Drosophila melanogaster: one gene and its partner. The protein of the gene in region 1 interacts with the protein of each later gene in a biochemical or structural test. Each region holds a gene or a part of one and is shown on either strand. Other genes may lie near its edges. The genes, in order: rhea and CalpB.

Region 1 (15,379 bases):
GTTTTTGTAGCTTGTATAGTTTTCATTTAGTAGGTCGACGGCTGATTGCGTTCATACAGACTACATCGGTTCGCATGTGTATCAGTCTTCGCGGAGCAATCAAAATTACAAAACGATAGCGTCACGTAGTTATGGCGAACACAATCTGAGACCTTGGCACGATTCTGCCATGCAGCCAGATGTCGGTCTAGGTGCTCAGGCACGTTCTACAATGCCGAACCTCCGAGCTGTTAAAAAGGGTTTCGAGTTCTTTATGACCGAGCCAGACAACGTGGACACGGCAGATTAGGAGGAACTGTTGTATGGGTTTATTGACCCGAAACGGCAGCAGATACACATGTTGAAAACCGAGATAGAAACGGGCAGCTATTCATAATACTCGCAAGATACTCTCAGAATTAACCGCAGTAATTGTCTTCCATAAAAGCTATTCATTTTTATATTTATACTAATCTCACATTTTTTGTGTATTGGATTAGTCTTTCGGGTAAGTTTCAGCACATGCCCAAAATCACTAATTATGTACACACATAATGACAAATAAAATAATACATCATCACATGCGAGCGGTGATGACTACACATGCAAGTGCTTAAATCAGCTTCCAATGCTATAAATCACATCACAACTCACAATAAAAATAAAACGAGAGAAAGGAGAATTTAAATAAACTGCCAAAGAAAATCCAACGTAAATTGCGTTGAAAAAAGCGCTCGAGGAAAATGTTCCCTCTACGATAAAAGCAAAACAGATTTTAATTAAACCATAACAACAGCCATACTATATGTGCCCAAACCTAAATCCATTCTATATATATATGTATAAATGGAGCGCTATAAATACCATGTCCAAACGAGAACTTTCAAGGTAAACAAATATTATTTGGAGAGCAGACAAATCTCTTGGATTTTCTATTCGATGCGCCCCCAAATATAAAATCAATGAACAGTTTCGAAACTAAAAGTGTGAGAAAAGGCAATCCCTACGGATCACACTTGCCCCCTGAGCAGAAACTGTGGCACGATGTTCATGCAACACTGGAAATAGAACGCTGCCACCTAAGCGGATAAGCTGAGCATCTCAAGAAGCCGGCCACCGAATCTTCACACACAGTCAATTCTTTGCTAGCCGAATCTCACCTATCACACAGATCTTTGATCCATCGAAAGGGTCTCTCTGTGGAGCTTTCACTGTACTTGGCTGGTGGCGGTGATGATGATGATGCTGCTGCTCTTGGCTCATTCATTTGCTTATTTTTTGCTCGATCCCTGAGTCATAGCTGAATTTATAGAAATTTTCAATTTATGTGTAGTACACACGGGCTAGTTTGGAGGTCCAACAGATGGCCGCAGAGCGCGATGCCCACCGGCGACTCGCTTGATTTTTGGTTGCGCTTGAATAATGTAACTCAGCATCATCAAACGACTCGTGTAAAAACTTTTATTTCACTTTTCATGTCAGCGGAAATTGACGAGGTGGTCAGCGAAAAAAACTGATCGTTAAACAAATGTGTCACGATCCAGTGACAAGGTACTGTAAATGGCCTAATGAGCGTAATTATGGCAGTCAAAAGCTAGACGGATTCCCCATAAAAAAATATAGTTTATTCTGTAGAACTATGTAAGCTGACTGAGTGTCCATTCATAAAAGCACTGATTCAAACTATAAAGCGAATTTTAAAGAAGTCAGAATAAAGATTGCTTCTTGAATTATTTAAAACGATTTAAAGTGCAATGAGAAGTACAGAAGAGCAAAGGAGCTCATATATGCTTAAAGAATCGAATGAAATGCCCGATTGTTTACTGTAATGCCCACAAAGGTATTGCCCACATTGTTTATTTGAACATTTTGCACATTCAACTCGAATTCGTTCAGATTTAAACGACTTATAAACAACAGTCACGTTCCTACGTTTCTTTTTCTCGGATTGGTTCATTCAACTCAACTCAAATGATCGCCAATAAACACTTTTTACTTGAAATAATATTCTCCTTGAGCTTGCATTTTCATCGAATACATTTTCCCCATGGAAAACTATCCAAGTTGAGTGGCCCGATAAAAAAGCACAGTCCGCACAGTTCAGTACTCACAAACTCACAACGGGGGTCAACTTGGCAGATTTGACATACAGGGACTATATGTGCACCTTGGATAACCCCTAACTGCGGCTGTAATTTGAGTAAACAAGCCATCGTCGCTGGGGCAACTCCGCTGAGGCAATGGGCAATGAGCAATGTGGCCAACAATGGGGCTCAAATTTGTGTATCGCTATCAGCATCGCCAGCACAACAACAATGGGCAGCCAATGATGATGGCAAAATCCAGATAAAAGATGCATTAAAAGTAACAAAATACACAAATAAACAAACGAACAAACGACCAAAGGATGGATGGAGATCCCTAGATGGATGGATGGATGGGCAGATGGGTGGGTGGGTAAGGCAAACAAACAAATCAAATCGAATGAATCGACGACGGCGACGACAGAAGTGACGTCAAAACGGGGAGTCGACTGCAAGTGGGTGGTTGCTGGATGGGATCGGGTTGACTGAAAGGTCTCGATGGCCCTGTAATTTTCAATTATCATCAAGGTGGTGGCACACCATAATGTGTCCAAATTATGTCAACCAAGTGATAAGGATCAATGCTCTAATTATAAATCCTTTGGAAAGGAGCGTGCGTGTAATTAGCTCAGCTTATGATACCCAAACTCTAAGAATCTAAGAATAAAGAGATTATACATGTATGTATACTCCTTTGTTAAGATAAAGAAATTGAAAATGTATATGCTGTGATTTAAAAAAAAAATCAGAGTTGAGAAGACTTCTTATATTACTTTACATAATCTTATACAAACTGATTTTAACTTTAGATACTGCTCGTGAATATACATATTTAGTCAGCACTTTTACCGACTTCAGTGTATATTCCCCCCAAACAAATTTCACATTTCCTGCCAACATGGATTGCCTTAGCTTCCTTCCTTCCTGTTCTCAACGTGCCTCATACACCATCTACATACGAAAGACATTGCCAAGCAATTTTATGATTGGATGCCAAGTTCCATTCCCATGCCACTGCCTACCCACTTAAGAAGGAGCCCCCCTTCTTTTCTTTGAGTCACCCTCTCCGGTGGCCACCTACTTCTCCCATTCCACCCGTAAGCTGCCCCTCATCCACAGCCGACATCGTCAATCGGAGACGGCAAAAAATTAGGCTCCCGCCAGTCGGGCTCCAATGGATTTTCGCACAAGTGAGTGCCAAAAGCGACAGTGCCATACACCATATATACAAAGTTATATGTGCGTATTTCTATATATAGCGATATAACAAATAGTCAGGGGCATCCCTGCGAGAGGGGCGAGAAGCTGCTGCAGCTGAGTTGACTTTGAGGGGCAGCACTCAAACACTCGAATGCCAATGCATTCGAATAAGCCGAATAAGAAATGAATTTTTATTTTCACACTCACTCACTGCCACTGGCGACACACAAAGCAGTTCCATTGATTAAAAGAGCCACCCAATCCCCACAGCCAGATGGAAATAAATTGCGAGGCAAGGCCAAGCCTAGCGATAACTGCCGATGGACACGACAATCGCCGGAAAAGGGGAGCCATCCAGAGGAGAGATAATCAAATCGGGAAAGGAATGCATAAAATGTGGGGTTAACTACACTATAACTTCCTTAATGACGGCCAAGGTCCACAAGAAAGTTTTCTAGATTCAACGCAACTGAGTCACGGATCATAAATATCGCTTTAAAAGTCCATGATGATATAAAATTTAGTTCTTTATGTTTTGTTCAAATTTAAATGTTAAAATGGCTTATACACATTTCTCATGTGTTTCAGATATTTCTCATAAGCATAGAACCTTTTTTGTCACTAATTAAAAACCAATCAATCAAAATATGTATGCTAATTTGTTCGTCTAATGGTTTCGGTTAGAGAAATTTCACTTGGCGCTATGGGGCTATAAAATCGGAATCCTCAAGATTTCCATCAATTTTTCATTACAATTCCACACGGCGGGAATCCAGGGGGTGTGTGACAAACCGCAACCCATTGCAATGGGAATGCCAAGGCGGACTTATCGACTGACCGCATCGAATCGTTTCGCTGATGGACTGACAGATTGATGAAGTGCCCAAATGCGTGTTCACTCTCAGGCTCTCCGGCAAAAAAAAAAAAGCGCCAATGAATTACTGACGTAATCGGCCAGGGATTTACGACACCCACCGTGAGATATAGGAGGCGGCAACCCGATCGGTGGAGCCCAACCCAATCCAATCCCCACTGCCATCGGCGATAAACGAAACAAATAAAATGATACGTACACATCTCTCGCCAAGTTCGGTAGTCCAGTGGTCGATGGGGAAAAAAAATAAAATTTTTGCATAAATCTTCGCATGCGTTTGTTTGCATACAAACATGGTGACAATAAACGTTATGCCGCCGATGGCCAGACAACAAATGCGAATGAATACTTGCCGTTTATTTTTAGAAGCGAATGCATATTCTTTATCAGCATTAATAGTAAACAAGGGGCTCCATCTCTACTCCTTCCTGCCAGCGATTCTTAATGACTCAACGATGAGTGTGCGTGCGAAAACGGAATGCGAATCGAGTGAAATCGAGTTGAGTCGAGATGGAAATGTTCGAGATTCCGATTCAGATCGGTCGTTTCTGGTCGGTGCTTCCACCTCCGCCACTCGAGTTCCGCGTTATTAAGAAACATTCCAAAACAATAAACTATTCCACAATACGCTACGGCCAATCGAACTCAATATGGAATCATCTACGAGTTCTGAGTTCTGCGGCCCATTTTGTTTATTTAGCATTTCGGTTGTTTGATTCAGGTCCGGTGAAAAAGCGAAACATGTGTGCGGCAGCATTAAGCCCACATAAACTCACATCAGCCCCAAGTAGCTGTATCTGTTGTACAGAGAGAACAATATTTAAGATTTTCTCAAAAACGTTTATCAAGTTGCATAGTTGTAGGGAAAACATGACCGCTAAGCAGAAAAGTATGTTCTTCATATCTTAATAGATATACGACTTTGGTACAGAACCTAAGTTACAACATATCTGAGTGTTATCTTAGGACTTCTACACAAGATCAATAATATTGTAGATGGTTTGTTTGCCCAGTGTAGCTATATATAGCCAATGTATATTCAGCATGTATGCATTCATGTATCTCAAGTGCAATACAAAACCATTGAAAATGCTGAGGCGTTAAGAAAATAGAGCACACACACCAGTTGTTATTTTTATTTTTTAATTGTTATTACGCTGGTCGTTTTGCTTTTGTTCTTCTGGTTGCCGCCAGTAGTTTTTTTTTCGATATTGTAACGAGTTGAACGGGTGGCTTAATTTATTTTAATTGAGCTTGAAAAGTAAATCGAACAAATGGGCGAAAAATCGAAATATATAACAGAGGTAACATGGGTGAATAAATATTGAACGGTTCATAAGCGATTTTTACACTTTTAACTTTCACGCCCTATTTTAGTGTCATTTCACATTACCAAGCAATCAAAAAGTTCCCATCTCACGCTTGCCCAAAAAAACCAATTCAATTAGTCCCGAAATTATGAAGTAATCCTCGCTGCGTAAACATCCCCGGGACATCAATCTCGTATTCGAAAGTTGTATGGCCAGCGATCAGTGGAAGACCTTTGCACTCGTCTCGCCCCAAAGCAAAGCAAAGAATTAATGAATACAGCTCAATTAATAAAACGGCGAACGAAAAGTATGCAAAACCATGAAAAAAAAAACTATCCAACAGATACAAGTGGAAAATGCAGTCACTTGTCTGGCAATCGAAACGTGCCCCAAAATGGGCAACACAAGCTGCTGCCCACCAGTGTTTCCACCAGTGACCGAGTTACAAATCAGTTTGCTCAATGAATTGCCGCTCCAGCCGAGCCGAATGTGCACGCGGATCACTTAACAAATTCCGGGTAATACTTTTTGGATAATTGCTATAAATAGCTTATAAATATATAGTAAATCGAGGTCTAAGCAACATTCCAAACATGTGGATTATTATCATTGGATTGTACGGATACAAATATACAAACAATGAAGTATAAAGACATTACTGATATCAGCTTGCCTAGAAATAGGTACATATATCATGAGTTGAGTTTTGAGGAGGAAATCGAATTGCAGATAAGATGGTGAAATTGGAACACTCTCATACTTATTTTCCTTCGAGTGTTTTAACATGTAGTAAAGATCTTATCAGGAGAAAATGAAAGTGTTGAAATATTTATTATGAACGACAATGGGTCAGTAGAAAACAGAATTCCAGAAGAACAAAGTAACATGCATTCTCCAAATAAGAAACTCATATTTTAATGTTTTGATAATGATATTTAGATCTTTGAGCATTAATATTTGTGAAGTGTACTAATATCTTGGCGGATGCTGAGCGTCCCCACGTCTACGTCCGAAATATTTGGTAGATGTGGAGCCGATGCACTGCCCACACAGTGGAGCATGGAGTGAAAATGAGCTCCGATCTCGATTTCTTTATGTTTCCGAAGCGTGTTTATGTGGCGGGCATTCCAAAACCGAAGCCCACTGCTAATAAGGTCGAAACGCTCGAAAAAGTGAGAGAGACTGAAAATAACAACAGCTTTAAACGAGCGCATTGACATTTCGAGATAATGGATAAATAATATACAAAATACGCCCACAAAATGGAGCGACGGCGAAATTTGCCAAACAATCGGACAAAAAATGTGTAGAAAACAGGACAAAAGCCAGAGAAATTATGACAAAACATCGAAAGACGCGAGATATTTAAATCGGTGAAGAGAAGAGCGAGGAAAGAGCGTAACAAAAAAAAACAATAAATCTACGTACAGATACCAAACAAATCTTAGCGTACGTTGTATCTTAAAGATAAATCGCATTTGTGGAGGAGGGGAGTGGGAGGCCAGCCGCCAGCTGCTAGGCAAGCAAGAAATATAGAATGAAATATCTATATGTTTGTGTACACAGAGAATAATATAGTATTTTTTTGATAAACAGTAATATAAATAATGCAGTACTTCTTGATTACATAATCAAATACTATACATTGTTGTTGAATGGAACCCTTTGCTCAGGTTTATATCCATATACAAATACAAAAAAAAGCATCATCGTGAAAAGCGAATTATGCTAATCTGACTAGTCCTAAGATTTCGCTAGCACGTCATAAGATATAGCCTAGTGATCTATTATAATCCAAATTTTTTCTCTGTGGACCAGCGTAGTCAGGGGCAGACATCAAACGGCAGACGTCGACGCTGGCGCCGGCAGCGCGATGAGGTAATTTTCAGCTTGTTTTCTAAAACGCTCGACATCCGAAATGGGGAAAAGGGTTTTCCGATGGGTTTTTGGCGCGCATCGCGCAGGCGCAACGTGCATTTGGCGTTTGAACTTAGTTACACAATGGAACTGCCTTTTTGTGGCACATATTCCACTCGGAATGGATAAAAATAACACCATATGTCACACACTTATGACCGCGCACTCTCGTCATGTATATACCTTCTTTAATTCCCACAATTGGGCTGGAAACTCTTTTGATATTTGAACTTGAACGATATGCACGATATGCGATATTCATATATGTACGAATCGCCTATACATATATATGGGTAGATATATGTATATATATATATATTTCAATAGCGATATCGGGCGCGGCACAATCGAACGAATTGGCACCGACGACGGACGAAACTCGAATGAGCGGGCCATAGAAGCGAGTGGTTCGCTCGGTTCCATGGGCAGTGTGAGCAGCATGAGCAACAGATGGGAGAGCCGCGAAGAGAGCCACCTGCTGCTAGGCTTCTCTCCTCTCTGATTCTTCCGATTCTCCTGATCGCCGTCTGCAAATGTAAACAAAACAAAAGGTGCCAGCCAGAGGGAGGGCGGTGAAATGAAGGGGCAGCGGAGGAGAAGGTAGTGGCCACAAGGTGATGGACCCGTGCCAGTGGTGACTAATCTTTTGTTGCCCAACTTATGGCTCTTTCTTTCTTCTCAAAAGTGAGCAGAGAGGAAGCGAGAAATTGGAAGAGGAAGTGCGCTTAGTCACATGGGGTTTTCTAAGAAATGGACATTACTCCTGCTTTTCAAGGGCTAAGCTAGTCAAGCGATTGGAGCGTTGTAAGTATTAGTATTTTGAAATGTTTTGGTAATGACGTTTTGTTTTGATGATGTTATATGACCCAAACATTTCTTATCTATAATATCAATGACTCTTTGACGGACTAGATTATTCCCCAAAAGGAATGCTTCTAAACAATCAACAATATTAACGTAATCTTTATGGGTTCAAATCTCTATAGATACTATAATCTAAACAGGACCAGTCTCTTTTTAGGAAAGTATCTGCATTTAAAACTCTTACACAAACAGAATACATGAGAAATTTCAATCTCAGTTGAAATAATTGAATACAACAGTTTCCAAAAACGTGCATAAACAAAGGAGGCAAAATAATAGCCTGTTGACTTCAATTAGGTCCAATTATTGACGCAATTGAGGGCCTGATCCCGGGAAGAGTGAATCTCTATGCCACTGACAGCGGGATGTAGGCACGAGTCTTGTGGGTCCTCGTCTCGGATCTTTGAGGGTTGCAGTTGCACAGCTAACTCCACAATTAACTTGAGAATTGAAGGCAATTGCCAACTCCCGCGAATCCGGCGCTTCTTCTTCTTCTTCTTCAGCAACCGGGGGTTATCTTATCGCGTATGGAATGTACCCCATATACATATACACCATGCTATTCTGCACGCTCATCCAGCTGCTCAGATAAAGCCGTCAAACCAAACCAACTGCTGTGCTGATAATGCGAGGCAGTCGCAGTTGGACTCTCGTTAATTGAATTATATTCGCAGCTTTGGCTAAAAAAAAAATGTTGCACTTTAATTAGCATAAAACGTAGACGATGCTTACAAGCAAACAAACGAACAAACATACAAATGCGGGCGTTCCCTTTTTTTGCCCCCTTTTGTTGTTACACTGGAAACTTGGTTAAAAGGGCGGAATTCGCGTGACCGACAAAAACAAATGTGCGGGACATGTGGGAGAGACCAAAATCCGGACAGTCGGCGCCAACAACTGGGGGTAGGGATAACGATGATGACTCCACCCCGGAGGAGCACCCACTAGGCGGCAACAACAAAATGTGCGAACGAATCGAAATGAGTTCTTGTTGGCCAGGCCGCAGCTGAATCTCCACTGGCTTTGTTTGACGCGTTTTCATGCCGCGGGAAAGGGGCTTTAAACTGATTTGTGCACTTGGGGTTTTAAACATTGGTTAACTTACAGAAACACACGGCGAAAAGGGCTTAAAGAGAGCTAAAATCGAGTAAATAAAACTAACACTTTACAAAATATTCCGTAGTTAAGACAGTGTGACCGTGCGTCAAGCAGCTATCGATAAGTCATTGCGGCTATCGGAACCAATTAGCGTTTGGGTCACATAATTACAAAATAAATAAAAAATATATAAATTTACAAGTTCTAATCATAGTTTGCCTATACTTCTATAATATTTGAAATTACTACGGCAAGCAAAAAGTAGTCTGCACACAGAGCTGTTATGCCAATGGCAGACTGTTAAGTGCAGGGTCACCCCAAATGTAAAGGCATGAGCGCCAAATTTAAAATAAAACCCCCAACTAATGCAGTCTAACTAAAACAAGGCTTAAAGATTAAGCGATTTGTAGTCGAATCCTATAAAAACAACATATCCACATGATTAATGAAGGTTACAAGCCCCACCAAAGCGCACCCCCACACAAACTTGATAAATTTGTCTGGCTTTCCTGAATTTTCTCCGAGACGATCATCGTTTCCGTTTTGATTTCGGCGATTGGAGGGCAACCAAGTGTGCAACTTACAACCCTCAGAAAATAGACGAGCAATCTAAGGGCCGAAAAACAAAAACTAGCCAAAATCATAAAAATAAGCAAGCGAATTCATGACTTCGCCAAAGTCAACGGACCGCACATAGCGCGCGTCTTTGGGGGCCCTTTCACTGGGGTTGCTTTCCCTATAAGGCAGCGAAATAAAAATAAATTTAATGTTCCTGTTTTTTTCCCTTCTCCTTTCTCGACTTGTCAAGGATATCATATGCGCGAATACATGGGTATATGTGTACGCGTAATTTATGCTGCAAAACATCTCGAGCATAAACAGGAAACAAGCGTCCACGGTCCTTCTTTCGCAACACTCTTAAAAAATGAGAAGTAATTAAAGACAAGTTGCAAAATTATCAAAGGGGGGGATAAACATTCCTTTTGCTACTATCAAACTTGAATTTAATTATTGGAAATTTCAAGAGAAACATTTTAAAGCGAACTTTCAGAAAACCTTCATACATAAAACACTATATTCTTCATATAAAAATTTCTCTCTGTGCACAATGCCCGCCCCTGCGCGCTTGAGAAATTTCTTGAAACGAAGTCAAGTTCGTGGCTTGGGCGCAAATTCAATTAATTTCAATCGAACGCCTGTCGTTCTGGGCATCCGGCATTGGGCATTGGGCATTGAGCATTGATGTCCCGCGATTCGAGGCCTGCCAAACCGATACGCAGATAGAAGATGCAGGATGTGCAGATATGGACTCACCCCTCGGGCCGATAAATCTCGGAACTGGCACACTCGCTTTACACACACGCCCGTTATGACTGCTGGCCAAGGAGGAGCAAGCGAAATGGATGAGCAGAACGCATCGACATGTGTCCTGGTGCTCCTGCTGCGTCATTGCTTTAGTTCCGGTTGAGTTTGTGCCAGCGCTCGCCAAGATTTATGTCACTTTGTTGGCCCAACAAAGAGGCCAGGGAGTTTGGTTTTCGGTAATGGCAAATAAAAACCCGATTCGCAAATCCTTTCCTCGAGTGACCCACTTGGGATTTGGGACTTGGGACTGACCAGCAGCGAGGAGCAACGCTAATTGAGCGATCTTCCGGCTGGCTAATGGGTTAAACCGGCCAAGCCGAATGCCCATATATCATGTGCTTGGGCCGTGATAATTTCGGCATTTTATCAACCAAAATTTAGAGGGTTCTTGACTCTGCCGGAGATTTATGGCCATCTAATTGAGTTTGTAGTTTTCCGAATGCATTTCTGGTTTCTAGTTGCGGATGAATCTGAGCTCTTTGGAGACGAATAAATTGGTTGAAATATAATAAGTTTTTTTCATATTTTAAGTACAACAAAAACTAGAAAAACTTGAAAAACGTAGAAATTTATGATGACAAGAAGTTTGAGTGTTTTCAAAAGAACTAATTGCTTGAAATTTGTAATTGCTTCTCTGTTTTTAGAAACTAGTACCAGACACTTACAAAATGTTTAGAAATTATTGCTAAACAAAAAACGGAAATAAATTCATATCCATTTCTTAATACCCATTAATTTAGAAATAAATGTATTATTTAGTGTAGATTCCGCTTACAATTGTTGGGAAATTCGTTTCGAAACCTTTAAATTCGATTTGCTTCACAATTATAAAGTGAACCGTCCTTTCTCCCCAATTTGTTTAGCATTCTGGAAAGGCGTAAACTCGTTTTCATATTGCCCGACAAATTCCCCACAAATTCGAAGCACTCGAAGGACATTTGCATGCGGGCAGCTATGAAAAACTTATATTGAGAACAATAAAAATTTATGAAAAGCCATTAGGGCGAGGCTGGAAAAACAAGCAAACGACTACAAATTGACGGCAGCCGTACGACCCAAACCCCTTTTGGATGAATTCGAGATCGGGATTGAAGCTGAATGGAAGGGGAGTTTTTGGCCACAAATTATTTTTATAGCTGAGAACGATCCCAGGCACGAGTATGGCGAGTTATGCGCCGGAGAATCCTATAAGCAATCCGAGACTAAGCTCGTGGAAGTGCCCGGATGGACGTCTCGGTCGTAAAAAGATGGAACAAGCCCAAAGGAGTGCACAGGAAGAAATCATTGAGACTTTAGAAAGAGTTTAGTATAAGAACTTATGGTAGTTATGTTAAAACTGATGCAAGCATCTTTCACTGATCTATGAAATGTAATCTGTTTGAATCTTAGATACTTTAAGACTTTGGAAGACCTTGGCAATCCATTATAGCTATTTGTGTTTCTTTTAGAGAATTCATTTCTCTGAGTGCAGTCAAATGTGAAACTGGAGTGTTGTGCCGTGTCATTGTCATTGCCTTTGTCACTGGCGTCTGGGGGCATGGACATGGAAGAGAGCGAATTTTAATTGATGACGATTTCATTAAAATTTCGTGGCGGCCGTGCTGAAAATCGACATCCTGCAACCCCGCAGCGTGTGGCAATAAAAATGCAAACAAGCGGCGCGTGGGCAATGTCCTTGCTCCAGGATAGGAGATGATGAAGATGATGACGCTGGGTTAACTCGCCCAGCCAAGTGTGAAGGATGCAAAAAGTTAATCGCTCAGGCGGACGACACAAGCCCAAACCCAAACCCAAACCCAAGCCCAAGCTCAAGCACTTTGTATCTGGCCAGATGTGTTAATGTTTCTCGATTCCAGCCCAGGCTGGAGGGGTATTTTTTATTGCCCTGTCCAGGACATTCGGCATCCTGCGGGATGTGTGTGTTTGCGCACTAAGTAAATTGCGTAAATTTATGGCTGCGTAAATTGTTTAATGACTCAACAGTCTATTTATCCTGGCGAGGCCATGCACCGACTTGGCCTAATGGCCATGTTGAGGTTGAGTTCGTATCCGAGGATTTGGAATTTGGCTTGGAGTCAGGGGTGTCAAGTGGAGGAGGTGGTGCAGTGAGCTTGTTAAAAGTTCCATTCGTTTAAGGCATTTATTGACATTTCAAGGCATTAAAATGTTTATTTGCAGCGTGTAATTGAAAGTTTTATTAAATTTTTTTCAATAACTTGGATCAATTTTTTGATTAATGCCTCCTAAGAACTACTAGGAACACCTATATTTCCGTATCTTTATTAAATTTTTTCTATATTTATATTCAAAACAAATTTATTCGCTCTATAAAATCGTGCATTTCCTTACCAAAACTCTAACGTATAGCATCCATTTCGAAATGCATTTTATCTTAATAGTCTTCACTTAATTTTCCCGAAATGAGCATTTCATTTTAGTTTCTGGGACCGCTGACATGTCACTATTCACAGGACGGCCGCTTATCCTGGCTAAAGGATCTGCCCCGCTGAGACATAGGCAGCAATTAAGCAGGCATTAAACATGTAAACTGCTCGCAACGCCCCAGAGATCAAGGATTGGGCAAGGATGAGCATGGATGAGCCAGAGGATACCAGGGCGATGGAACCCCTCACCTTGTGGGGGTTGGCTGTTCAATTCCGTTTCCAATTCGCTGACTTGTCGCACCCAGTCAAAAAGCTGAGGACGATAAACGGCGCTGATAGCACAGCATTTATCAAGGAGCTCGGAACAGGCTCAATTGAGTTTCAAATTGATGTCACCATTATCGGGAGCTGTCATCTAAGGACCTGGTTGGGGTGACATCTACATGAGGGATGCGATGAATCGCAAAAGGAAAAAAAAAAGAAACATATAACAACAAGGAGGAGGGGCAGCGATGTATTCCGTATTTATTTATAATTTTTTCATCATTTATCAGCGATACTACTTTCTCACAATCCCGCAATTGCATATTTATGTAGATGTGCACTGTGCAATTTCAGTTTGCGCTTCGATTTAAGTGCTCATAAATAAAAATCCAAGCGAAAATCCACCCCGGAAAAGTGTGGACTGGGAAAATGTTTGGAGTGGGTGGGGGGTGCACAAATGGTATGGCGTCCACCCCGGGCAAACTGTCAAAAAGGCAACGGAAAGTTTGTAAACAAAACTAATGCCGACATGGGTGTTGATAAAGTTCTCCAAGCTTGTGGCACCCCAACCACTGCCGGCTTATTGAATTGCCCTACACGCTTGATTGCCCGCTAAACGGATGACAGGAGCAGGGGGTTTTCCCGGATTTTTCCGGGCCTTTCCCCTCGACCAGGAGGCGAGTTTGCCCATTCGATTCGTGTGCGACATGTGGATTCGTCATACCAAAAAGCGCAAAATATTATCCAGGCCCGACTTTTGTTCTGGTTTCGCTTGCAAAAATGAATCACAAAGGGCGCAGGACTCAAAGTGCAGAATGCAGCCCAGAAGGATGAGGGTTTCAATGGGGGACACCCATTTGCCAGCTCGCTTCAATTGAATTGTGACTTGTGTCTAATGGACTATCCTTTGTCATCCGCCGACCCGCGACTTAATGGCCACGGGAAACTAAAGCAGTTGCACAAACATCCAGCAGCCGAGGAGCAGTTCTCCCATTGTCCTTGCACTTTGTATGGGAGTGTTCCTGCTCTAAATTCGTTGGAATGCAGATGGAAGGATTTTAAATTGCTGCAGGAATCATTGATAAAGAAATCAAGCGAAACGAAAAATTCAATTCTTTCAACTCATAAATCTTTAAATTCGCTTGGAATAGATCGAACACTATTTATAGTTTGGGAAATAGCAGTTAATGCCAATTTACTTTGATAAATGTACATGGAAAATCCATCTGTAATATATTACGATATATACAAATATATACAAGTGCTAGAAAACTTTCTTTCTAAAATTTCCTATAACAATTTGATGAGTCTGTATCAATTTCAACTTGGTCCTTTAATCCTCGTTCGGGTCATTAGCAAATTACGTAGCGAATTTCAATTTACGGATTAGCTACAAAGTTCGTAATCCGGTGACGACCAATTTGCTTTCTTCGCCGACCGATGAGGAAAAGAAATCTGCCCAGATCGGATGACAGTTATGGAAATTTATGATTCATTGCGAGGCATTTGGGTAGCTTGCTCTGTGGTAGCAATGTAATCCATTTGTTTGCGCAACATTTGTCACGCTGCTGCCGCTGCTCCTCCTTTGGCAGGATATGCAGGACATGGTCTGGGGATTTGTCAACATCGAAGGATACTTACTTATATCGCACCGATATAGCCAGACAGATCCACCCCGTTACATCGTAACTACTTTGACTTTGATTTTATGTGTCCCCTTTTTTTTCTCAAATGTTTGGCAAATGTTGCAAACTGTCGTCCTCGTTTGTCGGTTTGCTGATTGGAAGAGGGAGGCAATAAGGACATTCGGGAGGGGATTTATGAATTTCATTTACTAATGGATTGTGGTGAGCTCTGAAATTCCACAGATGTGTAAATATGCAATATGGATTATTAAAGTTTTGACATCCTTTCACGGCTACTCATCCCATTTGATTTGGGAAATCAAACTGATCTGGATGGTTAAATGGATTGGAAACTATTTAGTAAATTTAAGGGTCTTAAAATTGTTTAGTATAGCTCTAATACATCATTACAAGA
Region 2 (17,207 bases), 1.3 Mb from region 1:
AATCGGGTTCGCTCGCAGTTGCGCTTGACCCGCTTATTGGAACTGTTGGCCAGGTTCTGATTGTTGGCCTTTGTGCTCCTGGGCAAATGGTATTCGCGGCCAGTTAATTAGCTGCCCGGGATCGTCCCTCCCGCGGGACTTCATCAGGCGACAGGCTCGGCGCAAAAAAACGAGGCAGATTCTTCAAATTACTTTTGAAAAAAAAAGGGGCGACCAAGGAAGGGAATAACCTTCAGTTCCCAGCTTTATCGTCAGCAACTCACTTTTAGAAAAATATCAAAATTCTTCTTAATTCAATATTATTCAATAACTTTATTTAGAAAAAAAAAATATAAAACATTATGCTTAGAACTTAAAATGGTACTTTTAAGTACCAATTTATCTTTTATTCTATTATTTTATCCAAAACAGGAATTTTCCCACATTTATTGATAGTAAATAAATAAATAAATAGTTGCATAACTAAATCGAATAAACCGATGCATCCGAATTGTTTTTCGGTGCACTCATGCAGGACTGGCTTTGTGTCTGCTCACTTTTATTTCAAACGGCAATTGCATTGTGCCATTCCCAATCCGCTTATGGCCACTGCCACGCCCCCTGGACAACCACCTAGACCGCCCATACCGCCCACGGGAGCAAACAATGCACTCAGCAGCAAACAAGAGCAACAGCAACACCAGGCAGGTCCAGGAAAGTCCATCCCTTTTTGCCCTGGTAAGTGCTATGCGTATGATAAAAGCTTGTGTCATATTTTCATTTTTCACTTCACTTTTCCCTCGCTGCATTTGCTGTGGCGGATTTGGCATCTGGAAAGGAGTTAGTTCTCCAGCCAACCAGCTAGCATGGCTCGCTTAATGCCAAGCACTCGACGACGCTAACCCACCCGGTGCTTACTTATAAAAACCAAAGTACTTTCATTAGCTTACCGCCAACGGGACCTTCTCGCCAGCAAGGTCGGCATCAGATCCAGTTTACTTTGCCCACCATGGAGCACTGTGCGTCCACCAGCCGACTCCATCCACAAACTCAGTGAGCTCAGCATCCTTTTGGTTGGGGCTAAAGCTCCGGGAAAATCCGCAATGAAATGGGTCTAAAACGGGGAAAGTTTCCCCTGCGAAAAGCTCTCGATATGAAAATTCGGCCTTGGCATAGGAATTGACGCAGCATTCAACTTGTGTAATGAACTCAAATATTATTTAAAACTAATTAGTTGCAACACACACGGCATCGACATTGATGTGCTTGTGGATGGTTTCTATTAAACTAATTATTTTGCTCTTTATTCATACATATATATATATATTTTGTTTGCCTGTTCGTTGGAGTTTTGTTATGCTTTATACAGTTTGCCGTTAGCAATATTTTGCATTTTTACAAATTTATATTCGCTGGTAAATATAAACAGAAAATAGCTCTGGGGATAGTTACAATATAACTAGATGATCGTTTCGATAATTTTAATAATTTTTTTTCCCGGGTTAGATCTTGTCTTTTTCCTAAACGCTACGAGTATTGGTTGTCCGCTTGAAGTATAATACTTGGACAGAGCTTCTTCGCTTGTTTTGCTGGTTGATCAACTTTGAACTTAGTCGCTAAACACATTGTATGCCAAAACAATTGCGTTCGAGTTAACAATTCAAGTCAAAAGTGAACCGAGTGGGTACTTATAGCTTAGGTATACACTTAATTCGTACTAAGGCATGTTATATATGTTGGGCTCGAAACAACAACATCAACTGTTGTGTAATTCATAATATCGCAAGTGGTTTATACAAAGTCATTTTAGTTCAAATAAATAAAGAGGCAGCAGAAACTTAATTAATGCGAACAGTAACATTAAAGTAACGTAACGTAAACGTAAAGCCAACTGAACAGTATCCCGCCCTAGGTGATTGGGTTTCGGATTTGGGGTTTGTGGATCACGCTGAACTGCAGAATCCACACTACTCGGCATCCAGCGAGAAGCAAGGCAGTCCGGCCAGCGCCGGATGTGTGGATTGCTGGGAGGAGCGGTGTCGCTGCGGCATTGGCTGACCATTCTCGCGGTACGTCTTCAGTTTCGTCTCCATCGCCTAAAAAAAAAACACAAAACGAGAGCGGATTAAGCAACAGTCAGTGAACTATATGAAAAATTAACTATAGAAGGATTTGGGCACATCATATAATAAATAAATTAATGAAAATTTCATTTCGCAACGGTTTGCCCAGTGCAGAGTTTAGTCAGCAAGCCAAGTTATTATGCGCTTTCGAAACTGAATAAATCATAACGAACAAAAACAAAGAACATAAAATAAGGTACAAATAAATTTTGTATTTATTAACCAATGCAATTAATAAATGCAAGCGGAGGGCAACTAAAATTAGCCTTAAAGTTCCGAGCGCATTGTCAGAGCGGCAGGCTGGCGTCCGGCGAGTTTCGCATGCGCTCGGCGAAGCGCCTAAAAATGTTTGAGCCCGCACTGAGGCTTCCGGCGGAGCTGCAATCGCTGGTGGGCGTGGACTGGGCGCTACTGGTGGCCACTGAGCTGCTGCTGCCGCCAAAGGCGCGGCGAAAAAGACTTGCCTCGCTGGCCGATGGCGGCGGCGGCGGCTGCACACTTGCCGGGCGCTCACACATGCAGCGAAACTTTTCGCACTCGGGACATAGCAGTGCCTTGTCCCACTAAAAACATAGGGAAAAACACATAAGCCGATGGTGGGAGTGAAGGGTTCAAGGATCATATGTACATACGAAACAATGGATGAGGTAGGATGGCATGCTGGACTTATAGTTTGCGGAGGGACTTACGTTTAGTTTTCTTAACATGTCGGCCACAATGTTGAGCGCCGTTGTGCGGGAGCTGGGGTTCATGGAATTGCCATTGATTTGATTCTCGGGATCTGCAAGAGGAAGCACACGTACACAGCATGTTAGTCGAGAGGTTAGTTAGGTCAACTACTAGCTACAGACGCAAACACAAATCGTACAAAAATCGCCTACAAGAAATGTTGCAAACTCTTTCGTCACATTTGGGCTCTTAATTTTAATAATTTACAATACAATTACAAATTATGAGGAACTTAAGCGGGCTACATTTTTTGGTTAACAAGTAAAAAAGAAACAAATGGAAAAACAATACTAAATGCATGGCTTGAACGTTTGGCGATTCGTCTTGGACAGTTTTAGCGCGCGTCTGGTTTTCTTTAGGGAACTTAGTATCTTACTCTTAAGCGAATGCTGCTGGTTATATTCGTTTCTATTAACTAAACTGCCATTGAGGGCGTTGACGCTGACGCTGGTGGCTCTTGTGGCGACAGCATTGTCGTGTTTTACCAATTCGCCATTGGCAACAATACCATTTGGCAGCGAGGCGGACGAGTTCATCGAGCTGTTGACCGTATTTGTGTCGTTTGCCGTGGGAACGCTCGTTCCATTGACCACTGGGGTAAAGCGTGACTTGACGTTCAGCTCTTGTTTGAGATCTGCAATAGATTTGATGAATTAGTTTTAAAGTCTGTGCTGGACATCTGGTATAGATGCATCCACCTCTCGTCTCATCCATTAATCGCTGTAGTTTTTCCTGCAGCAATCCCTTTTCATCCACTTCCAGCTCCAGAAGGGCGTTCTTCTCGTAGGCCTGATCCAGCATCTTCTCGAAATTCTCTATGCTTTCGTTAAGTATGCGATGGGCACGTTCCAAATCGTCGTTTTTCTGCTCCAGCTGCCGCAGGTACACCTTCATGGTGTCGCGATCCTTCTTCACCGTTTCCAGCTGTTTCTCCATGTTTGACATATCGATGCCATGCGATTCCAACTTGAGCTGAGAATGAAATAGTTGTAAAGACTAATCTTGTCGGGAGCTCAAAGCCACATATACGCAAACTGAGTCTAAGAATTAAGCTCAGTTTGTGTAAATCGGGCTTAGCTTATAGCTACCTTGAGAGACTCGTTTTCCCGCTCAAACATTGTGAGTTTGGCTGTGAGATCTTTGATTATACTCTGCTTCTGGTCCAGAGTGGCGTCCATTTCTATTTCCATTTCGCGGGACTGCTCCACAAACTCGTCGTACTCCTGTTTCACGTCTGTCCACCTGAAAATTAAAAGTAAAACTAGGCTATATGGCTGATTTCGGAGACTGTAATAGGGATGGGCACTTACTCTTTGTGGTACTGCTTAGATCGTTCCTTCCAATATCTGCACTCATCTTCCACACTATTGAACATCGGGGGCGACTCCATTTCTGCAAATTTTCCTTAGCTGCTAACTCCTTTTTCTGGTTTTTGTGTACTAATCGGCGGTCAAAATGGGTTTGTAATTTCGTTCGTTCGAATTGATTTAACTTTTAATTTCTGAACAATGCTATGTACTACGGTTGGTCTATTACTGTTTGGGTTATTTATTCGTGTTTTTTGGCTGCTTTGTTTTTAATTGCTGTGATTAAAATGCCAAAACACAGTTGTTGTTCAAGTCGTAGTTTTACTTTTTTTTTGTTTTGTGTGTTGGGGGTGGTGAATAGACTAGAAGTCGGCGAAGAAAAGTGAAAAATCAATTAGGAACAGGTGTTTGCCCTGAATTTTGTAGTTACTGTTGCTGTTGTTCTTGTTCGATGCCCTAAAAGGGCAGTCGGTTTTGTCCATATCAAATGTAAATAAAATCAAATTAAACAAAACTCATTTTTGTGACGCAGCTGCTGCGGCAACAACAACGAAAACAACGAGGATGATGGTGATGAGCAGCAGCAACAACAACAACAACAAATAGCTACGACGAAGTTTCCCATACAACAACGCACTGCATGGAAATGAAATCATCGGTGATTTTTTCGTAGAATTCCAGTGTTTATACCTAGAATTTTATACAGCACGACTGTCCACATTTACTACTTACACTTTGCACTTAATTTTGCTACGTTTTGTTTGTTTTATTTACATAAAATCAGTGTAAATAGTTATGCTCGTAAAAATTTACCACTACTCCAAAAACGCACAAGCCAACCCTGGCTTGGGTTGCCAGTGTTGGCCAATAGATGGGCATTTGCCGTTTCCAGCCCTGGTCAACAGTTGTTATTTGAAATTTAATCAACATATAAAGTTTTACTCGGCTTTTTTTTGCGTTTACGTAGTTTTCTTATATATTCCAAATCATATTTCTCTAATGGACGTGCTGTGAACGTTATCGATTTGTTGGCCGGCGCATCGTTGCTGGTATCGTCCGAAATATGAAACTCAGAGTCGGAACTATCTTCAATTATTTGAGCTGAGCTTAGTGTTAAATCACGAGTGGAGCTGGGAGTTTGTGGCAGTGCTGCAACATTTTCGCCAACTACGCGCATGGGCAGCGCATGATAATGATATGATACATTTCGACAGGATTTGCGGCGTAGTTTGTGTTTTCTGCTTGTTTCAAAGTCACTTGAACTTGTGGACGTGTTATCGTCCCCACTATTTGAGCCTTCCCCGCTTACAGAATCCTTATTGTCAATTTTATTGGAGTTTTTCGTGATTTTAGACATATTTGTTTTAAGCCGCGCTGGATTGTTTTGGTTCCAAAAATGAACAATTTTTCGCTGATCTGTTTCTGGTTCTTTACCAAGTACAACGATGTGGCAACTCCCTGGCAGGGCCGCAACTGAAAAATCTCAAACGGGACATCGTTGCCAGATAGCTAGCCAGAGTGTGGCCAGATCGCAGCGACTGCAGTGCATTTTCAACAAAAATAAGGTAAAATATAGCACAATTATGGCCAGCAATTGTTAAACAATTAACGCAATTGCCAGTATTATAACCAAATGTCAACTGTGTGAGTGCGACAATCGAGCTCGCGTGGGCGTTGCACATGCAGCATCATCGAATTGATTAATTGCGGCGCATGCCGAAAAGTGAAAAAAGGGAGGATGTGTTTCAATCAACGCGAGTGAAAACCGCGACGAACGAAGAAAAAAAAAACCAAACTACTGCGGCAATCGTGAACAAAGAGCTCGTTGCGTCCGAAATTATGTGGCACAGCAACTAAACTATTGGATTTCCCACTCATTTTCCAGTTGAAATCAACGCGTTGCAGCAGCCCCCGCAGCAACAGCAACAACAAAACAAAGGCAACTGGAAGTGCAGCCTAACGGGAATTGCTCCAGCATATAGAGATTATAGTCCACACATATAAATATCCATTTATCGGAAGATAGTCCACAATGGCGGATCCAGAGCGACAAAGCCTGATCAACAAGGACGACGGCAATGGCTACAATTCCGTGGACGCCGTGGACGAGGGTGCCGATAATCCCGGCAGCAACTCATCGGTGGCCACAAACGAGGACGGTGCGTATCGTTACTGTAAAGCCGGGCATTCAACCCGCATCCAATCAGCCGGGCGGGCAACCCATTGGAAGCCCAACAAGTGTGCGGGCGCTCCACTTATCCGGATCCAACGCCGTGATTCCGAGTTGTCTGCTCGCCGTCTCATTTGGCATTTTCACACTTCACCCAACTGAGTCATAAATGCGTGTGGTTTGGTGCGGGGGGAGAGCAATGGGACTGCACAGAAAGAAAAACTGATAGGATATGTGGTGCCCAAATGCCATTTTAAATTATCTGCCATTTTTTTATTTTTTAATAGGGCCCAGTATTATTGGTATTACCAAAAATTTACAACCTAATATAAAATTTTCTTATTGGCCTAAATATCAAATGGGCCACGTACACCATAAAAAAAATGTAATTTTATCACGAAATTGTGAAGAGCTGCCAAAAATGTAAAGATCGATTGTAGTTAGTTACTCGACGCCGGTATCGGCAAAATTTTTGCACCGCCTTTGTTATTGTTTATGCTAGGACGCTCGTAATCAGCGCAAAAAGCGTTCCCCACAGCTGTTTAATCAGCATCGATTCGGAGGTGTTGCTATAGTGGTGGTTAAGCGGGGGCAGTCAATGAGTCCATGAGTCATCATGTCATTCGCTGCCTTATCGCAATACAGGGCGAAAATGAGGGTCTGCGATGAGCAGTGGTTCCATTGTTTACCAAGGAACCTGATCTTCAGCTCGGAAAAAGCTTGTCCATATCATTAATATATACAAGAGTTTAGTTACAAGGGCTTTACGACTTTCCATGTTCCCAATTAATTTGCATAGGTTATCTTTCTGTATTCCTTTCTTTTTGACATTATATATTTATTTAGCCAAAGTAATATGACTTTATTTGCAATTTATCCACTTCATATCAATTTTCCTAAAGAGTGTGTGCGATGTTACTCTTTGCGTTGTTTTCATTTAAAAACGTCTTTCACAAAGTTCGAACTTGTTTTGATCGAGAGACGAGAACCACAACTGCGGTCTAGTTGCACTAGTTTAATGCTTGTACGAGAAAGCTGCATTCATAACGCCAAAACATTGACCCATTTGGTTTATCGCAGCTTCCCAGAGCCACACACTGCACACTATCAGAAAATGCAGTTCTCACTCCCTCCATGAGCCAATCACCGCCAGATGAGCAGTGTGGTTGAGCGAACTCTGCTGGCGAGATGTATTTATTCTACACCAAAGGTCTCGCCTTTGAAGGGCATGGGTCTTAACAATATTATAAGTAGTTAATAATACTTTGCAATGGAATTTTAGGCAATGGAGCACCGACCGCAGTGCCTTGCATTGGACCCGATGAGCTGCCGCCGCCGTATCAGCAGAGTACCAACACCGGAGGCGTCCCGATGGTCACCTGTCGGGTATGTCAACACATGATTGACATCACCACGAAGCGGGAGCAGCACGTGGTCAAGTGCACCCACTGCAATGAGGCTACTGTGAGTAATTCTAAGCAGATTCTTTGAATCCAATTGTAACTTAATACGCTTTTGGCTATCAACAGCCCATTCGGAACGCTCCAGCGGGCAAGAAGTATGTTCGCTGCCCATGCAACTGTTTGTTAATCTGCAAGAGCTCGTCGCAGCGAATCGCTTGTCCAAGGCCCAATTGCAAGAGGATCATCAACCTGGCCCCAAGTCCCGTCACCCCGCCCGTGCCAACCATGCCGGGCATGTGCCGCGTCACTTGTGGCCACTGTTCGGACACGTTTTTGGTGAGTTATTAATCCAAATCACAGCAGCAGGAGTCTTGTAACGCTTGCTCTTACAGTTCAACACGTATCACAACGCCTTGGCCCGGTGTCCACACTGCAGGAAGGTCTCATCGGTGGGCTCGCGCTTTGCCAACAGCCGCGCCGTGATGTTCGCCATCGTGGCGCTGGTGTTCCTCATCACAGGCATCGCTGTAACTATCGGCACATACTCGATTGCTTCGGTAAGCCAAATCAATTTAAAATCAAGCTGAAGTATGTGATTTTCTAAACCCATATGTGTGTTTCCTTTTGCATTTTTCCAGGATCATGGTGGCATGTACTTCCTCTACGTGGCGCTGTTCGTGATTTCGGGTTGCATGCTGGCCAGGTCCGCCTACTATTTCCGCCTTAAAGTGAGCGCCATCGATGGGCCAATGTAAAGCTAAAGCACGGGGCCAGTAGCAAGGAAGAAAGTGCATTGTTTTATTTTTATATATATATATTATTCATATATATCATTCCTTTTGATATTAAATTTAAAACTAAACACAAGCAGCCAATTTGCAGACGGAACATATGAACATTTCTCCAGCAGTTCAGCTACATACAAAAATTCTTCGTTTCGAGCAAAACTAATAGCAAACCTAGCTAAATTTACGAAAGAAGGTCTCCCCGTTGAAGAGCATAATTAGGATATTAAGGCCGTAACTAACTAAACACTATACTAAAAGCGAATATTTCAAGGGTCGCCGTGCAGCTACCATTCAAGTGCTAAAAGTAAAAAAGGAAAACCCCGATCTGTGTTGGCAGTCATTAGTTATTAGACCAGCGACCGATCAATCCACAGTGCATCTCATTTTTAGAATCGTCAGGATCCATTTTAAAGATTGTACAGTTTCGTTGTTTAAGTGTCCGATTTGTTATCCGTTCGTGCCTGTCCTGCAAGATATTTCGGTATTCATACATTACGTATTCGTTGATACGCTTTTGAGTTTTGTGTTGCCTAAAATTTAACCAATGCACTTTTTCTCAGTTCTCGCCAAAGCGGAGGAAAGCGTTTTGTTGCCTGGCGTTAGAAACAATTTGAAGGGTATGCTAATAGTGCTAATGAAGGTACATACACATACGCGCATATACAATACCATAAATACATAATTATAATGCAAATAAACAAAGCAACATTTCTTGAACAACAGAGAACAAGCAAACGCTCATGCAGATATAAAGAAAATTAATTTAGACAGCAACTGCTAAACTGCGAAATTGCATATATATATATGATTAAAAGGAACGGTTTACTTTTGAAATATATATATATATATACAACAACATTTATATTTAGTACATTATAAATTAGCATACATACACTGTAAATAAAAAGAAATAAAACCACAAGCACCACCAACTTTTTGGCGACAAAATGACAAGGCTATGAAAGTAGAATAGAGTGCCTTGAACTTGACATCGGACATCGGCTGGGATTTTCGATTTCGATTACATTTTTAAAGTTTTTAAGTTCCTTGGCCAAGATGTCATCATTGGCTCCTTGCTTTACTGTGGGCTCTATTGTGCGCTGCAAGACTTGTTTTGGCGACAACATTTCGGGCGAGGTAAAACTAAATATTATTTATTATTTTTATGATTATGTAATGCTTTCAATTTCCCAGGTTGTGGCCTTCGATCTGGGCGTGAAAATGCTGATAATGAAGTGTCCATCAAGCAATGGCGGTGGCGACGAACAGACCACTTGCAATGTGACCATTGTGAACCTATCCCTGTGCATGGACATTGAAATAGTAAAGGAAGCAATTCCGCCGGCTGAAGTTCAACAGCCAGAACCGATTGATTTGCCCATGGTAGAAGCACTCTCTATATAGATATTTAAAAGAAACCCCATTCAACCATTTGCAATTGCAGATCCGAGAACGATACCGATACGCAACCGAACATCGTACGCTCTCCTGCCGGAGCTATCATCCCAATGCCTCGCCCTTTGGTCAAGCTCTGTTCAGACTGTTAGTCAAGCGATTCGGTGATCCCGCTATCATCTGGCAGAACAAAGGCGACCAAGTGGCGATCAATATACTCCGTCAGGTGGTCATCGATGCGCCGTATGCCACGGAGAATATCCGATACCTCGATTGGAATCCCAAGCTGGCGATATGCGTCCAAGAGGTCGTTCAAAACTTTTGCAGTAAACAATTCTAGAACGATGGCCCGTGCCCATGGCAACAGTTGTCTAGATAGCATCCGATTCTCTGTACGTTTTGTTTATCAACAAAACAATTCAAAATACACATACATATAGCCATGACACCCACACAGAATACTGCTCTTTATCTGCCAGGGGAAACCATTCTCGTTTGTACAAATTCGATTTAATACACTACACCACAACACCCAACACACATAATACACGATGGCCGATGATGAAGATAAACCAAAGAAGCACACGCTGGACAGCCTGTTCTTGGTGTATTCCAACTTCCAGGTATGATGAATGACCCGGTTAATTGAAGAGTAATTTTCATCTAAATGATGCCAGGTCATACCCACCGACATCGAGAACGAGTACTTTGACAGCATACTCCTCTCGCAGTTGGACGCCTGGCTAGAGCAGGCCAAGCTCATGCCCAATCCCATAACTCGAACTCAGACCGGTTTAATATACATGCGATACAAGTGAGTAACTACATCAAATCTACATATCATTCTTAATCAAATACATGTTTCAGGAAATGGCGTTTGGAGTACGAAGACTTTCTCGAGGTCCTAAATAACTTGGCATCCGATAACAATCTGGCTATAGATGAAATGAAGCAAATAATGATCGATGCTGGCGTCCCGAATGGTGCTGATGTAGTTATAGTCGTCAAGTAGATTGAATCATCACTGCATTTTATTTATATGCATACAAAAAGTCGGACAACAAATTATTAATAGTAACAATTGCATACAAGAGTAACTTTGATTAATTCACAAAAATTATAGTAAAATATAAAAGCATCCAACAAAAAGAGCCTCTAAACCCGATTGGTTAATTTCAGTTAGTTAAACACTTATTTTGACATAGAGGGTGCCTAATTAAGGTATGTTTTGAGATTACTGATCTGAAAACTAAATACAAAATATATGCGTATTACATTTTTTGATGTGATTCAATAAATTGACTGATATTCTGAAATTCTGCTTAAGCTTATAAATATTCGATGAGTTGGTTGGCTTGTTCGCTTCGCGTTACTTTCCTGATAATAATAACAACGTTTGTTTGGGTAACAGAGTTTGGCTGGACTTATTTCTAGCACCTGGGCAAATATGTGGACTGCTCGGAGCTAACGATGTTACAAAAATACATGCTTATTCATTCCGTATATCTAATAAATATTGTCGATGCGTTCTAATGGCTTTCCGAGCGTCTCATAGCGATTGTAAGGTAATAATGCACTGTTTGTACTAGTAAATTTCCGGCTCTTGACGAGGTGCATGGAGTGGATTTGCTATTGATGCTTGCTCTTAGTCATCCCTCCAGTTGCGCAGCATGGTAAAAAAAAATCTATAGCGTTAATTTTTTGAATTGTGTATGCGGGATTTATACTGTTTACCGTGCATACTCGTAGCAACCTCGTGCCGTTCCAAGGCCACTCCAATTTCGCCACATGATTTGTATTTCCGGATATGGTCATATAGATAAGATTCTCTTGTTGGCTCAGTGAGTGTATCTCTTTGCATCGCCGGATCGCATTGTCATGGATTTGTGTGTTGGCTTTCTCATTTGAATGCATGAATAATATGATGCACAGGTAGATTAAGTATACGTCGCACTTAGGATTAGATTAGTAGCAATTGCAAGTAATTTAAGAGTAAATTGTTCGCTCCAGCCAGTCGTCCAAGTTGAAGAAGGCCGTGTCCGAATTGTCCGTGTCCCGTTCGCGGAACATCTCGATGAATGTTCTAACCTTGATGGCACACATCAGGAAATCGTCGAATGGTATTTGTCCCTCCCGCGATCCGTAGCGATGGGCCAGGGCGTTCAGGAGCCGGTTGTTCAGATGATAGCCAGCCGAATTGAGTGCTCCGCGCAGATGGAATCCATCAATACTGCCAGTGCGACGGGTGTCATATAGCTTAAAGACCGCCCGCCACTTGGCAATATCGGTAAGCAGAGCTTCGAACTCCTCGAAACCAAGGCGACCGGAGCGATCCTTGTCCAGCATGGCTACCATCGAACGCACGGCATCCTTGGAGAAGCCATCACTGCCCACCATAACATCGCGCATAGAGTGGTCCAGGATGCGCTTCAGCTCCTGCCAGTCGACTTCCTCATCGCTGCCAGCCACGCTGTCGAACAGACGACGCAGTGCAATGCGCTGCGGATCATCCTCCTCCTTTGGAGTCGGTGGCGGCAGAGACGGAGCAATGCGATCGTCGGTCTCGCCAAAGCCAACCTCATCGTCGTTCTCCTCCATATTGTTCCTTGTCTCCGAGAAGACGCGAATAATGAACTCGCCCTCCTCATTCGGATCGAAGGTCGATGGAACAATCAGGTAGTGGCCAGGTGGCAACTTAAACCGGGCGCAAACCTCGCGCGTGTTGATAAAATGTGGTGAACGCGCCACCGATGCTCGGTACTTGAAGAAGTTGAGTCCCTGGGGCTTCACTTGCATGTCACGGTCTGTGAGATGATATATAGCAAATCCGATGGTCAGACAGTCGATGCCCACGTTGCGCTTGCTACGTCGATTCTTCTGCATAAGGGCCACAATAGCCGTGCATTTGCCATCGTCATCCTCGTCGTCGGGATCCTCCAGCGAAATGATGTACTGCGGATTGTGCCAGAAGGTTTCCAGGAAGTTTCTGCAACCGCCGGCTGTTACTCCCGATGTCCACTCACCCTCGAACATGGACATTTCCCACTTGCGGCGAGAGCTGTGCTGCTGATCCTCAGTCAGCGAGTCGGGCGACAAATTACATATCTCCACGCGATCAAAATGATTGAGGAAGTCCTGGAAGGACATCCAGAACTCGCCGTCCCTATCGAAATTCAGGCCAATCTCCTCCTTCGTGTGCTCCGGAATAAATCGCCACTCAGGCGAGCTGTCGCTCCACGGACCGCTCCATTCGGCATCGTTGCCCCATGGATTACGCATACGTATCATGGGCAATTTTCCCTGCCGATTGGGCGTCGATATGTCCATGAGGCACACCTTGGTAATGGAGTATGCATGACCGCGAATCAAACCTTGTGGCGTCTCCGCTTCCAGAACATGTGGATCCGGCTCCAAAGAGCAGCCCATCATCGAGCCACGCTCGGCGGCCTTCATCATGATGCTGAATAGATTTGGGGGCGCCTCCTTGATGTCGTACCACTCGGTGACGCCGCCAGTAAAGTCCTCCATGGCCTCGCACGTGGTGCCGCCTAATCGTGAAGAGATGGTTACAAAAAAATTATTAGAATGAAAGTATTTAAATTTCAGATCTATTCAACAAAGTCCTAACCGCGATAAGTGCCACATTAGTTTATTTTTTTTTAAGAACATATGATAAGCATAGTGTATTTTTAGAAACTAAAATAAATTTTGGTATGCCACAAATTTTCTACGCTTCTACAAATACTGATAATATTCCATTTCCTACCCTTGAGTGCTTCATAAGATCCATGCAGCTTTGCATAAGCCTTCTCCAGCAAGGCACTCCAAAACTCGTTCTTCTCCGTGGAGTGCATGTAGATTAGCTCGCCATTATAGGTGGGCAGACGGTCATCAATGACCACTTCCACCCACTTGCCATACTGCCAAAACTTGAAGTGAAAGATGCCAGCGTAGTTCTCCTGGAAGTCCTGATCCGGCGGGATTACCCTAAAGAAGAGCGTCGAGTCCTGCGTCAAATTGGCAGCTGCAGCCAGTAGCCAGCTGTGAAGGAATATTTAATTTTTGAATTTATGTCCACTTATGTGTTATTAATGCGTTTGGTCTTACCAATCGCCAAGTTCTCCTTGTTGCACATCGAATCGTGAATAGCCTTCCACGAAGAACTGCGGATCATCGGCGATGTCACCGGGACGCAGCCACTCGTAGTAGCGATCCGGTCGTCGTGAGTACATCAGCGAAGCGTTGGTGGCCGGAAAATCGGGATCCTCGAACATGGTTCCATTAGCCAGGCAACTGTCGCGCAGCGATTGGAAATCGCCTTTGCTTACGCTGTTCTGCCGGGCACTAGTGGCCTTGCGACCCATCCAAAACATGTTCTGGTTCTCGGGCACCTTCACGCTGGTGAAGCTTAGCTCGGCCACGCCGACGGAAGGTTCCTCCTCCTGGGTTGGAGCACTTTCCGGTGGCGGTGCCGTGGGATATGGTAGTGCTGGGAATCCGATATTGTGCTGGGGAGCCGGACTCGTTGGCATGGGAGCGTACGGCATTGGCATACCGGGCAAACCGGGCATGGCAGATGGATATGGTGCGAGCGGAGCCGCCGGATAGGGTAGATTGGGCTGCGGCATGCCAGTTGGATAGGGCATTCCGGTTGGATAGGGCGCCATAGGCGCAGTGGGGTACGGCAGCGATGATACGTTGGCTGATGGCAGACTAGGATAAAGTCCTGATCCAGGGTATGGCGTGGCACTGGGGTATGGAGCCGGCGCTGAGGGGGCTTCTGGCACGGGCATTCCCATGCCCATGGTGGGTCCCGCATACGAAGCATTCTGGGCATGACTCGTCTGCTTTACCACATATGGCATTCCGCCCACGGATTCGGATGATGGATAGGGCAACGAGGGGTAGAGACCCGCTTTGGGTTTGGGAGCTCCTCCTCCTTCGTTCCCGCCGCTGACTTCATTCTTGCTGTAGCCCAAGGCCGCCAAATTGACAAGGCCAATGCCACTGGCATGATAATTCTTGGGGTAATTATCAATGCCGTACATTTTTACTGGTTTTTCGCTGTGGTTTTCCTCGTCCACGCACTGGTTTTTCCCTAAATCTAACTACTAATGGCGTTGCAAATCGGCTAAAACTACGGAACTGGATGATATCCAGATGTTTATTAACTCGCTGCCGTGGTAAAACTGCTGACTCGCTGAGAATCGTACGCTTTAAATGGGAGAAGTATCCAAATTTAACTTTCTCGGTAAATGATTCATAATCTTTAACCCTTGCGCGTTCTGTATAAATTTTCTTTGAATATGCATGTGCAATCAAAAAAGCTTTGAAAATGCAGAATGAAATATTTATAACATTCTAATTCATTTATTAACTCAGAAAATATATTATAGAAATATTAATTTTGTTTTATTAAACAGTTTCAATAAAAACAAATATAGCTTTTAATAAATTTTAGTTTTCTAAAAAATGTATTTTTATGGTATTAGAGAAGTAGTTATGTAGTCTATATTGTTTACGAACGTAAACTATTAAATTAGTGTCAATATTGAAGACCCAACACGTTTCGAGGGTTAAAAAAAGGCGAGCAGGGCTACATTGTCGCGCAGAGTTGCCATCTTTATCCGAATGAATTTGGTATTTTTTTAGCCCTGTCGGCATTTTCAATAGAAGAAGAAGAAGTTAAACAGTGCTGTGTTTTTTTTTATAACAAACGCAAATTAGTTAATAAATTCTGGCGCAGAACCGGCATTTGAGCGATGGAAACGCAACCTGAGGTGCCCGAGGTGCCGCTGCGACCGTTTAAATTATAAGTATTCACCCTGCTCTGTTAGGAATCCAAAAATAATGAGTTCTCCCTTTTGAATAGCACGGCGCATCAGGTTGTGAGCCTCACGGGCATCAGTTTCGAGCGGAGGAGCATAATCGTAAGGATATAACTTAGATACACTTAAATATGTACAAAACATAACACACCTCCTCCCTTTAGGGCGTGGTCGAGCTGACCATTGTGCCGAACAGCGAGAATCTGCGCCTGATACGCCTGAATGCCAAGCAGCTGAGAATCTACAGCGTCGTTTTGAACGATGTCTGCCAGGCGGATTTCACGTACTTCGATCCCTTCCAGAACATCTGCTACAAGGAGCACAAGAGCCGCGCGCTGGAGGTCTACTCCAAGCATCATCTGACCGCCGCCCAGTACACCGATCCCGATGTGAACAACGGCGAACTGCTCATCCAGGTTCCGCCCGAGGGCTACTCTATGATCCAGGAGGGTCAGGGTCTGCGCATCCGCATCGAGTTCTCGTTGGAGAATCCCAAATGCGGCGTACATTTTGTCATACCACCCGCTTCAACGGACGAGGAGACACAGATGAACAGCTCGCATATGTTCACCAATTGCTATGAAAACTCGTCGAGATTGTGGTTTCCCTGCGTGGACAGTTTCGCCGATCCCTGCACCTGGCGGCTGGAGTTCACTGTCGACAAAAATATGACCGCCGTTTCGTGTGGAGAACTTCTAGAAGTCATTATGACCCCAGATCTGCGAAAGAAAACCTTCCACTATTCGGTTAGCACACCAGTATGTGCACCAAATATTGCGCTGGCTGTGGGTCAGTTTGAGATCTACGTGGATCCGCACATGCATGAAGTGACCCACTTTTGTCTGCCCGGATTGTTGCCGCTGTTAAAAAATACGGTTCGCTATTTGCACGAGGCATTTGAATTTTACGAGGAGACCTTATCTACGCGCTACCCATTCAGTTGCTACAAACAAGTGTTTGTAGACGAATTGGACACGGACATAAGTGCCTATGCCACTATGAGCATTGCTTCGGTGAATCTGCTGCACTCCATAGCTATCATCGATCAGACCTATATATCTCGAACCTTTATGTCGCGCGCTGTGGCTGAGCAATTCTTCGGCTGCTTTATTACATCCCATCATTGGTCGGACACCTGGCTGGCCAAGGGCATTGCGGAGTACCTGTGTGGATTGTATTCCAGGAAGTGCTTCGGCAACAACGAGTACCGTGCTTGGGTGCAATCTGAACTGGCGCGTGTCGTTCGCTACGAGGAGCAGTATGGCGGCATTATTCTCGATTGCAGTCAGCCGCCAGCTCCTTTGCCTGTTTCGGGCACAAATCAATCGGCGGCTTCCAGCAAACAGCAGGAGATTGTCCACTATTTTCCCATCAAGAGTTTGCACACCGTATCGCCGAAGTATGTGGAGGCGATGCGAAGGAAAGCGCATTTCGTAATCCGGATGCTGGAGAACCGCATCGGGCAGGAGCTGCTGATTCAGGTGT

What was found.
Region 2: of the proteins of rhea (region 1) and CalpB, one has a biochemical effect on the other in vitro, tested with the Drosophila melanogaster proteins (one study listed by BioGRID).

Annotation. Positions count from the first base shown.
Region 1 is NT_037436.4:8,539,044-8,554,422, reverse strand, and holds the start of rhea (rhea), read right to left. Parts: upstream 9,423-15,379; 5' UTR 9,334-9,422; intron 7,749-9,333; exon of another isoform or gene 7,548-7,748; intron 1-7,547.
Region 2 is NT_037436.4:9,887,019-9,904,225, reverse strand, and holds CalpB (Calpain-B), read right to left. Parts: upstream 15,465-17,207; 5' UTR 14,943-15,464; coding exon 14,002-14,942; intron 13,936-14,001; coding exon 13,661-13,935; intron 13,443-13,660; coding exon 11,881-13,442; 3' UTR 10,907-11,880; downstream 1-10,906. Other genes in the region: nudE, read right to left, coding at 2,390-2,665, 2,792-2,883, 3,208-3,465, 3,530-3,803, 3,920-4,073, 4,142-4,221; CG46387 (uncharacterized protein), read right to left, coding at 5,058-5,495; CG6707 (uncharacterized protein), read left to right, coding at 6,171-6,297, 7,591-7,772, 7,838-8,047, 8,104-8,268, 8,350-8,466; Hez (hezron), read left to right, coding at 9,556-9,636, 9,694-9,882, 9,944-10,234; CG6709 (uncharacterized protein), read left to right, coding at 10,446-10,517, 10,572-10,708, 10,762-10,906; Taf2 (TBP-associated factor 2), read left to right, coding at 15,657-15,706, 15,770-15,824, 15,887-17,207. UniProt on the Drosophila melanogaster protein: Calcium-regulated non-lysosomal thiol-protease.